Caenorhabditis elegans: one gene and its partner. The protein of the gene in region 1 purifies or fractionates together with the protein of each later gene. This does not show direct contact. Each region holds a gene or a part of one and is shown on either strand. Other genes may lie near its edges.

Region 1 (6,312 bases):
TTTCCGCTGATTATTATCGATTCTGATATCAAAAATTGAATTCTACACACATTTTTACCCTTATGCAGCTTTTTTCCGCAAATTTTAGAATTCTCTGCACTTTTGCGTAAAGTGTTCCATGTTTGCGTACTTTTGAGGCTACAGTAACCCGGAAATTTTTATTACAACTCGAATGGAGTCGAAAAAGTCTCGTATGGGTGAAAAAACATAAAAATCCAAATTTAAAACTGATAATGCACAAAAATCAATAATTTTTTTTTGGCTCAACATTTCTGAAAATTATCATTTTTCACTGATTTTTTAAACGATTCTGACACAAAAATTGAATTCTACACAAATTTTTACCCATGTATGGCTTTTTTCGCGCATCTTTCAGGTTTCTGTGCATTTTTGCGTGAGTCGCATGGTGTTTGCGTACTTCTGAGGCTACAGTAACCCAACTTATCGATTTCAGCGCCAAAAAGGAGCCGGAAAAACCGGAATAGATGTGAAATAACGCAAAAATTCAAGATTTTCAAGAAAAAAGTAGTTTTTAGTCTAAAAATTGCTATCAAAAATTGGTCTGCCAGACTACAAACTACAAAAAGCTATTTAGCAGACCCAAGACTCTAAAATGGAGCAAAAACGGTGGCAAAAATCATCACATTTATTTATTCTTGAGGAGTTCTTTTTTTCGATAAATATACTTTCGATAGACATTAAAAAAATTGAATTTTAACAGAAAATAAATAGGAAATAATCGAATATTCGGGGGAATGTACGTAAAGCATATCATTTTTTGGGAGGAAATTGACAATTTATTTGCTTCCAACAGTGACTTTCATGGCTTCGAGGCAATTGAGAATTCCGTCCGATTCTGGATTGCTTTTTGGACTTATCTGGAATTTTTTAAGGTTATTTTTAGAAAAATCACGATTTTTTTCGAATTTTTTTTTCAAAAAATTCAAGAAAAAACAGCCGAAATTCGGCATTTTTTGGAGTTTTTAGAGCTTTTTCCAATTAAAAACTATTAATTTTATCAAAATCTACCTTCTGATAACGATTAACCAAATTATCGATTGCATCAACTGCTGCAGCTCCGGCTTTCTTCTTTTCCGTCGCATTTTTGGTGGTCGCCGCGATCAAATTGTTGCTCTGAAACATTAATATAGACTACAAACTACAAACTACAAACTACAAACTACACTTACCAATAGAATTCCGTATTGAGATCTCAAATCGGTTGGGTTGATTTTGAGCGCACGTTCGTAGTAGGAACGAGCCAATTCCACGTTTTCGGCGCCTCCCTGCAAAAAATATAGTTTGGGTCTGCCAAATATGAATATGTAGTTTGTAGTCCAGCAGACCAATTTTTTCAAAATCACATGGGTCTGCTAAATCGAAATTTGTAGTTTGTAGTCCAGCAGACCAAGTTTTTCAAAATCACTTGGGTCTGCTAAATCGAACATTGTAGTTTTTAGTCTAGCAGACCAATTTCGAATTGAAATCACTTGGGTCTGCTAAATCGAACATTGTAGTTTGTAGTCTAGCAGACCAATTTTTTTCAAAATCACTTGGGTCTGCTAAATCGAACATTGTAGTTTTTAGTCTAGCAGACCAATTTCGAATTGAAATCACTTGGGTCTGCTAAATCGAACATTGTAGTTTGTAGTTTAGCAGACCAATTTTTTTCAAAATCACTTGGGTCTGCTAAATCGAACATTGTAGTTTTTAGTCTAGCAGACCAATTTCGAATTGAAATCACTTGGGTCTGCTAAATCGAACATTGTAGTTTGTAGTCTAGCAGACCAATTTTTTTCAAAATCACTTGGGTCTGCTAAATCGAACATTGTAGTTTTTAGTCTAGCAGACCAATTTCGAATTGAAATCACTTGGGTCTGCTAAATCGAACATTGTAGTTTGTAGTCTAGCAGACCAATTTTTTTCAAAATCACTTGGGTCTGCTAAATCGAACATTGTAGTTTTTAGTCTAGCAGACCAATTTCGAATTGAAATCACTTGGGTCTGCTAAATCGAACATTGTAGTTTGTAGTCTAGCAGACCAATTTTTTTCAAAATCACTTGGGTCTGCCAAATATGAATATGTAGTTTGTAGTCTAGCAGACCGAATTTCTTCAAAATCACATGGGTCTGCTAAATCGAAATTTGTAGTTTGTAGTCCAGCAGACCAAGTTTTTCAAAATCACTTGGGTCTGCTAAATCGAACATTGTAGTTTGTAGTCTAGCAGACCAATTTTTTTCAAAATCACTTGGGTCTGCCAAATATGAATATGTAGTTTGTAGTCCAGCAGACCAATTTTTTCAAAATCACTTGGGTCTGCTAAATCGAAACTTGTAGTTTGTAGTCCAGCAGACCAAGTTTTTCAAAATCACTTGGGTCTGCTAAATCGAACATTGTAGTTTGTAGTCTAGCAGACCAATTTTTTTCAAAATCACTTGGGTCTGCTAAATCGAACATTGTAGTTTTTAGTCTAGCAGACCAATTTTTTTCAAAATCACTTGGGTCTGCTAAATCGAACATTGTAGTTTGTAGTCTAGCAGACCAATTTCGAATTGAAATCACTTGGGTCTGCTAAATCGAAACTTGTAGTTTGTAGTCCAGCAGACCAATTTTTTCAAAATCACTTGGGTCTGCTAAATCGAACATTGTACTTTGTAGTTTGCATTGTAGCAGACCGTTCAATTTTTTTTAGTTTTCCTTAAAAAAAATCAATTTTCAATCATTTTCGGTAATTTCTCTATATTTTTTAAAAATTTCTTCATTTTTTGCATTAAAATAATATATTTTCGTTGAAAATTTGTTTTTCTGACATTTTTTTGACGGAAAACTGACAATTTTCGATTTTTTTTCTTCAAAAAAAAAAGTAGAAAAACGAGAAAAAACCAATTTCCATTGAAAATGTATTTGGGTCTGCTAAATATGAATTGTAGTTTGTAGCCCCCAGCAGGCCCAAATTTCTCCAATTTTCCACACACATACTTGAGTATATCTCAAATCGGCTAATCGTCTGAAATACATGGAATTCAGCGGCGAAATGAGCACACACTCCTCCAGGCAATGTACCGCCTTTGCCACGTCATTTTCGAGCAGGAAAAGCTCGCTGAGCTGAAGCCAAGCTTCTGGGTCGTTCAGGAAAATCTGAAAATTAATAAATTTTAGAGTTTTTTTTTTCTAGAAATCAAATGAAAACCTTCAGGTAATCGTTGATAGCTCGAATTGCGTCGAGACGCTTTCCCTGAGCGAGAAGAACCGCGACTTTTCGCTTGCGGAAGCTCTGAAAATTCAAATTATTAGAAATTTTGCAAAAAAAAAATTTCCTGAATTTTTTACATTATTATTGGGCTCATCCTCAACCAGTCGCTCATAAATATCCAACGCCTTCTGATAATGTTCCGTAGATTCCAACTGCATCGCTTTCAGCTTCAAAACTCGATTACTCTTCGGAAATTGTGCGTGAAGTTGGTCAATGCAATCCTGAGCCAGATCGACACGAGCCGCGTCGAGTGCTGCGATGCACACCTGAAAAAAATTGGAAAAATTAGGTGAAAATTCGATTTTCTCGTGAAAAATGAGTATGGGTATGCTAAATCGAAGCTTGTAGTTTGTAGTCTAGCAGACCAAATCTCCTCAAAACTACATTGGTCTGCTAAATATGAATTTGTAGTTTGTAGCCTAGCAGACCAAATTTCATCGAAACCACTTGGGTCTGCTAAATATGAATTTGTAGTTTGTAGTCTAGCAGACCCAAATTATTGAATTTTTTCTCGAAAATAATCATTTTTTCAGTAAAAAATGACCGTTTTTATTGATTTTTTCCAGTTTTTCGCCGAAATTTGTATTATTTTCACTATTAATCAACCAGAAACGTGATAACTTAGAAAAAAGCGTGGGTCTGCTAAATATAATACTGTAGTTTGTAGTCTAGCAGACCAATATGCTTTTCACCAAAAAAACCAGAAAATCTATGGTTTTTTTCTATTCAAAGCCAGATTTTCAGGATTTTCAGCGTTTTTCGACAAAATTTCAGCACCTGCTCCAACACAGCCCATTGCTCGTCTCCAAGAGAAGCCGGTGAGCGTGAAATAACGTGCTCCCAAATTTCGACGACCTCATCACTTCGTCGAACTCCGCATTCTCGCCACTTTTTCAGCGCTTGACGTCCTTCTGCAAGCATTTATCGATTTTTTTTTCAAAATTTGAATATTGTAGAATGTTACCATCGTAAGAGACTTGCGTCCACTCGGTTTCAACCATTTTCGGGAGGGAAATTTCTGAAAAATATTGATTTTTTCCAACTTTTTAATGGAAAAGTTCGGTTGGAAGGTATAAAAATAGCGAGAAAACTATAAAATAAACGGTTATAGCTGGAAAAAAGGAAAAAAAACAAAATTTATTATGCGATCACGGGGGAAAAAAAATTAAAATTCAGTGGTAAAGCAATAATTGTTGACCTAATCAAAAAGAAAACTATATTCTCAATATGAGAAAAATCGGAAATGAAAAGAAAAAAACAACATAATTATTCCATTGATGGATATTTCCAGTCAGTCAATGACACCGACGTCTCCTTAATCGTCAGCGGCGAGGTCCATCGGAGCCCATAGTGGGGGCCACCGGCCTTATCATTGGTTCCGGACAATCTGGAGCCTCCGAATGGCTGCTGGCCGACGATTGATCCAGTTGATTTGTCGTTGAGGTACATGTTGCCGACGGCGTCGCGGAGAACATCGCGAGCTCTGAGAAAAAAAAACACTTTGTTGAAAAACGTTTTTAACACAAAAATTCGCCTCAAAAATCTCGAAAAATCGATCGAAATCCAACAAAAATTCCAATAAAAAATACCGTAGCCCTTTAAAGGGACACACACTTTCACTGTTGGGTCTCGCCACGCTCAGGAACATCTTACTGTCGCTTTCAAATTTTTTGTTTGTTGTTATCGCTTTTTTTTTTCGATTTTTGCCAGTTTTTCTAGCTTTTCATTTGATTTGTGACGAAATTCGAGGGTTTTTATTGGAGAAATTGTGTAATTATCGTTTTTCGACATTTTTTAACCTATTTTGTTCGGTTATAGAGAAATTTCTTGAAAATTGCCGAAAAAACAGAATTTCAAGATTTCGAATTTTCCGGGAATAATTTTAAATCGACTTTTGGCAGTTTTCTTGTGCCTAAAATGTTGAATTTCAGCATTTTTGAACATAACAAACCCGAAAATTCGAGTTTTTCTTCTTTCCGCTGGGTTTTTAGATAAAATTTTTGAGTCCCTGAAAACCTGTGCAAAAACTTGTATTTTTTGTAGTTGCCAACCTATAAAGGAACTCCTTATCCTGCGAAAAAACGGCGCCAGTCAGCCCATAAGGTGTCGCGTCTTTCACAGTCGCGAGCACCTCATCAACCTTCGAATCCTCGTAGACCAGTACCGTCACCACCGGTCCGAACATTTCCTCAGTGAGAAGCTTGCTCTTCGGATCCGTCACAGTGATCAGGGTCGGCTCGATGAAGTATCCCGTTTTGTCGTCACATTTTCCGCCGAGCACCACATTTGCTCCGTCGGCTCCGGTTTTCGCAAAGTCAATGTAGGCCTTGAGCCTGGCAAACGCCTTATCATCGATCACAGCCGACAGAAAGACGGATCCATCGCGAACCTGTAAACTACAAACTACACAAAAATCGGCAAGCCAAACAGTGGCCTACATCTCCAAGCTTGATCTCTTTGTGAATCGCCGAGATTTTCTCGAGAATCTTTGGCCAAATCGATTTTGGCGCGTACATCCTGGAGCACGCCGAGCACTTTTGTCCCGAATATTCCCAGGCGGAACGGGCGGTTCCAGCGGCGACAGCGTCCACGTGGGCGGATGGATGCACAAAGTGGAAGTTTTTTCCGCCGCATTCTCCGATGAGTTTCGGAAAAGTCACATAGTTATCCAAATTCTCGGCGACTTTTCTCCAAATCGTCTTGAAAGTTGGCACGGAGCCAGTGAAATTGACAGCGCTCAAGTGTGGAGATGCGGTGATGACGTCACCGAAAACGGGGCCATCTGATGGCAAGAATGAGAGAATTCCAGGTGGCATACCAGCTTCCTCGAGGAGTTCGTAGATTATATAATTGGAGAGCACGGCGGTGTTCGATGGCTTCCAGAGGGAGACGTTACCCTGAAAAAATTGGGATAAAAATGATTTTTTTTTCGAGGGGAAAATGGCATTAAAATCGCGAATTTCATAGATTTCTCAAAAAAAAAAGTTAAAAATTCCAAAAAAATTGCCTGAAATCTCAGCATTTTGGGTCTGCTAAATCGAAACTTGTAGTTTGTAGC
Region 2 (4,971 bases), on another chromosome or scaffold:
GGGTCTGTTAAATATTTAGCAGACCCATTTTTTTTCGAATTTCTGTTCCAAATTGAGTTTTTTCAACGAATTTCACGAATTTTTCAGGTTTTCTAGTCAGAAAATCGCGGAAATTCTCGATTTTTGCTGTAAAAACCAAGAAAATTCCGTTTTTGAGGAAAAAATTAAGATTTTTCGAAATTGGGTCTGCAAAATGTTTAGCAGACCAAAATTGGGTATGCTAAATATTTAGCAGACCATACTGGGGTCTGCTAAATATTTAGCAGACCATACTGGGGTCTGCTAAATATTTAGCAGACCATACTTGGGTCTGCTAAATAATTAGCAGACCAAAGTTGGGTATGCTAAATATTTAGCAGACCAAAAATGGGTCTGCTAAATATTTAGCAGACCCATTTTTTTTCGAATTTATGTTCAAAATTGAGTTTTTTCCCAGAAATTCTCGATTTTTGATGCAAAAACTCGGAAAAATCAGTTTTGGATAGTCGAAATGTAAAATTTAGCGATTTTCAACCGCAAAATTGGAATTTTTCGCCATTTTTCCATTTTCCATCAAAACCTCACTCGTTTCGTTTCAGGACACGCGCAGCACGCTTTCAGCTTCTTCTCCGGTGCCACGCTGCCGGCTTCTGTGGATTTTTGTGGCTCTGCTGGCATTTTTTTGGGTGCTAAAATTATAGATTTTACAGATAAAAATGGAGTTTTAAAGATATTAAAAACGACATTCGCCAAAAATTTTCAGAAAATCGGATAAAAATTGCAGCTACAACTCCGTCAATATAATTCATGGAAAGAGTATCGTTGCAAAAAAAATGGGGGTCAAAGGGGGGAAATTTCAATGAATAATATCGATAATAAATAGGCAAAACACACACAAATCAGGCGGAAAATCTACTATTCTGATCGGTTTTTTTGGGGTGAGGATGGTACGAATTGGTAAAAAGAAATACCAGTGGTGCGGGGGGTTGGGGACGAAAATTTCTCGGAAAAAAATGGAAGAAATAAGGGATTTTTAGGACACAAACTTCAAGACAAGAGGCTCACAGAAAAAATTCAAAAAAATCGAATAAAAAAGAATTTAAGAGAAAATGTAGACCGTCGAGCGATTGATGTCCCAATTGTTGCAGCTGAGCACGCTGACAGCCTCTTCCTCACGGACTCCCATATCCTTGAGCTTGTCGACGAGAGCCTGGTATCCGGCGTTTTTCACGGCTCCCTTTGCGAATTTTGTCGTCCAGTACTCGGCGGTGGCCTGAAAAATGGTGGAAATTTAGTATATTAAGAGCATATTAGGCTATTATTCAGTTTATGTTGTCTATGTTTGTCTATTTTCTAGGCTACCTAAAGTTTTCAAGCGTGGAAATTGAGAAAATTCGAATGAAAACCAATTTTTTTTTTGAGATTTCTCGAGTTTTTACACTCACTGGAAACAACGAATTTTCGGGGAAATTCGAGTTTTTAGACTAAAAACAACTTCGCCAAATTTGTTGAGTTTTGGGTCTGCTAAACTTTTTTATAATTTCTTTTTGAAAAACAAATTTCGATATGAGCTGAAAAACTGATTTTTCTCGGCTTCTGGGACAAAAAGTGATGAATTTGAACGATTTCCTGGTTGAAAAACAAGAAAAAACCAGTAAATTCCGCGAAAAAAACTAAATTTAAAGGATAAATACGGGATTAGGGTCTGCTAAATATTTAGCAGACCATACTTGGGTCTGCTAATTATTTAGCAGACCATACTTGGGTCTGCTAATTATTTAGCAGACCATACTTGGGTCTGCTAAATATTTAGCAGACCATCGAAAACCACGTGGCGTTTCTACAAGCCTGCTAATTAGTTGGCAGACCCAAATTCTAAAGAAAATCGGCCAAATTCTGAAATTTCAGGGCAAAAATCAATAATTTTCCGAGAAAATCGTGCATTTCAGTGTAAAACAGTCAGAATTGTCTCCAAAATTCGGGAATTAACGAATTTTGCACGTTTCCCATCGAATTTTCTCAATTTTGACGCTTCAAAACTCGAGTTGGCCTGAAAAATGGGAAATTATAGATAATTTTTGGGGCAAAATACGCAAAAAAACACACAAAATAAGGGAAGATTTGGGTCTGCTAATTACTTAATTACTTAGCAGACCCATATTGATTTTTTAATCGGATTTCGCAATATTTTCCCCATTTTTCCGCGAATTTTCTGAATTTTCCACGCTGCTACCTTGAAAACTGCTGGCTTCTCCATGTATTGCTTGGCGACGACGGCATCTTGAGGATCCTTGGGCTCCGGTGTGCACATCAACGCCTGAATCGACAGGAGAACCGTGCGAAGAGTCAGCGAAGCGGCCCTGAAGTTGAAAATAAATTAAATTTTCCGATTTTAAAATAATAATCGCAATATTACCATTGATCCTTAAGAATATCGAGGCAAATGACGCCGGTCTGCGAGCTGACATTCGGGTGCCAGATTTTTGTGCTGAACTTGACCTGAAAAACCGCGATTTTTACACAAATTTCGACAATTTTCAAGCTTTCCAGGCAGAAAAACTCGTACATTTGGTGGCGAGAATGGATATTGGTCTGGAATCTTAATATCCAAATCGAACATTCCACCGGCGTATGGAGTGTCTGGTGGACCGCGGATGTGTCCCTGAAAACCGATAAAAATTGAGATTTCCGACACACAATTCGCGGCGTTTTACCTTGATTTCGGTGAGATTCTCGTTCAATATCTCGATCATAATTCCGGTTTCGCTGATTTCCGAGTTTGTGACGACCTCTTTGCATTCTCGTTGGAGTCTGTTGAATGCTATGTTCGACATGGTCTGAAAACGATGGAAAATAGTGGAAAAACTCTGAAAAATCGACGAAAATCATGAAGTTCAAGGAATTATCGAAAAAGCTTCGAGAAAGTCTGAAATTATCATCAAAATTATTCAAACACCAACTCATGATAAACAGGGCGCGCCGCGGAATTTCGGAGCATCGTTTGCAACTGAAATTTTTGTTTTTCCCCGAATTTCATCGATTTTTCATCGTTTTTCGTGAATAAAAATCAAAAATCATGTAGAAAAATGTTGAAAAACCAATTTTTATGCGAAAAATTGCTTAAATCACAGTAAAATTGAACAAAAACCCGGAAAAACCGGAGAAAACCGTGCGTTAAGTCGGAGCATCGTTGTCGCCGAGAAAAAACGGGTTCAAACGATCAAACCCGTGATCGGAAGTATCGATTCACAGATTGATTAAGTTTTTATAGGAATTTTAGTTTTTGCATCATGATTTTTCTCAAAAAAGAAAATTGAACGTTTTTGCCGAAATACTTCTAATTTTCTCAAGGTTTAGAGGGAATTTCCATTTGTTTATTGAGAAACCCGTTCAGAAAATATCTAGAATTGATTGAAATCTTCAAAAAAAATCTTGCCAGGGAACAATTAGGTCTGCTAATTAATCAGCAGACCCAAATTTCAAAAATCCGCGTTTTTCTTCGTTTTTTTCCCAATTACTCTACTGAAATTCTCTGTTTTTCAGCCCAAAAATGTCTCGAAGCCGTTCCGCAGCTGCCAGCTCCTCTCAAAAGCCGGACGATATGGACCTAATGTCGCCGGACGGCTCGGCGAGCTCCCCATCGGCCCCAAACACGCCAGCGACGAATTCCGGCGGATTTAGCTCGGATAGAAAGAAGGCGACGCACTTGAGGTGTGAACGGCAGCGAAGAGAAGCTATAAATGTTTGTTGAAGCTTGGAAATTCGTGGAAAAAAGCTAAAATTTCAACTTTTCAGAGCGGATACAGTGATTTAAAGGATTTAATTCCTCAGACAACGACTTCGCTGGGATGTAAAACTACAAACGCCGCGATTTTATTCAGGTACTGGCTGAAAATACTGAAAAATTGAAGGAAAAATAACTGGAAAACATAAAAATTTGGGTCTGCTAAATATTTAGCAGACCATAGTTGGGTCTGCTAAATAATTAGCAGACCATACTTGGGTCTGCTAAATAATTAGCAGACCATAGTTGGGTCTGCTAAATAATTAGCAGACCAACGTGGATTTAGCATACCCAAATTGCGAAATTATCGAATTTTGATGACAATTTCAAGTTTTTTACATTAAAAAGCACGATTTTTTTCAAGAATTTCGTGTTTTTCAGCGGGAAAAATCACAATTCCAGTCTGCTAAGCCCATTTTTTGCTTAAAAACCTTCAAAATTCTGCAAATTTCCCCGAAAATTCAATAATTTCCAGAGCCTGCGACTTCATGTCCCAACTGAAAACCGACATCTCCGACGCCGACAAGCAACTGGCCCAGCTCAACGCACAAGCGGCCGCACTGGAAATGATTGCCTCAGAGTACGAGCAGATGGCTTCTTCGGTTCCTGACGCCGGCCAGTCCACGATTCAAGTCAAAATGGTTAGAATTTACTGAAATTTCCAGATTTTTAAGTCGAAATTCTCCAACTTTCAGCTCCAACTTCTCCTCGACGACTGCTTCACCTCGTTCTCCTCCCAAGTGGACTTCACCACGTACGCAACGATCACCAGAACGCTCCTGTCGTGGGTGGAGAGCCTGGCGCCAAATGCGGAGCCATTCAAGTCGACAGCCGGAAAAATGGTCACAATGCCCTTCACTTCGCCATAGTATTGAGAAGAATTTCCAGATTTTTAATCAACAAATGTATTATTCAACGCGTAAAAATGAAATTTAACAACAAAAAAGAAAATAGTTTGGAACATAAAATTAACTTTTGGTAGTTAATTGAAGAACTCGATCCAGAAGCTTCTGAGTAACTTCAGTGGACATTTCTGTGAACAAGTCAGAGGTTCTAACTTGTCTGGCCTTCTCTGTAGTCTCAATGGTTGAAATCGCGTGGTTCATGAGTTTCTCCAATTGAAATTTGTCAGCCAACCAAATCTTTGTTACATGATCGATTTCCGTGGATTTGAGAAGATGATTCTCTACGGAACTCGTAACGAACGG

Evidence for each region.
Region 2: the proteins of emc-2 (region 1) and ubc-20 fractionate together in Caenorhabditis elegans (co-fractionation; one large-scale study listed by BioGRID). This does not show direct contact.

The regions. Positions count from the first base shown.
Region 1 is NC_003280.10:1,301,865-1,308,176, forward strand, and holds emc-2 (ER membrane protein complex subunit 2), read right to left. Parts: upstream 4,273-6,312; 5' UTR 4,256-4,272; coding exon 4,219-4,255; intron 4,166-4,218; coding exon 4,032-4,165; intron 3,688-4,031; exon of another isoform or gene 3,637-3,687; intron 3,521-3,636; coding exon 3,332-3,520; intron 3,276-3,331; coding exon 3,192-3,275; intron 3,140-3,191; coding exon 2,981-3,139; intron 1,287-2,980; coding exon 1,191-1,286; intron 1,135-1,190; coding exon 1,030-1,134; intron 879-1,029; coding exon 798-878; 3' UTR 635-797; downstream 1-634. Other genes in the region: alh-6 (L-glutamate gamma-semialdehyde dehydrogenase), read right to left, coding at 4,521-4,737, 5,306-5,643, 5,693-6,151.
Region 2 is NC_003281.10:186,683-191,653, reverse strand, and holds ubc-20 (UBC core domain-containing protein), read right to left. Parts: upstream 2,817-4,971; 5' UTR 2,814-2,816; coding exon 2,694-2,813; intron 2,642-2,693; coding exon 2,546-2,641; intron 2,479-2,545; coding exon 2,396-2,478; intron 2,340-2,395; coding exon 2,213-2,339; intron 1,253-2,212; coding exon 1,079-1,252; 3' UTR 707-1,078; downstream 1-706. Other genes in the region: cox-17 (Cytochrome c oxidase copper chaperone), read right to left, coding at 565-657; mxl-2 (Max-like protein homolog 2), read left to right, coding at 3,530-3,721, 3,775-3,860, 4,239-4,404, 4,459-4,632.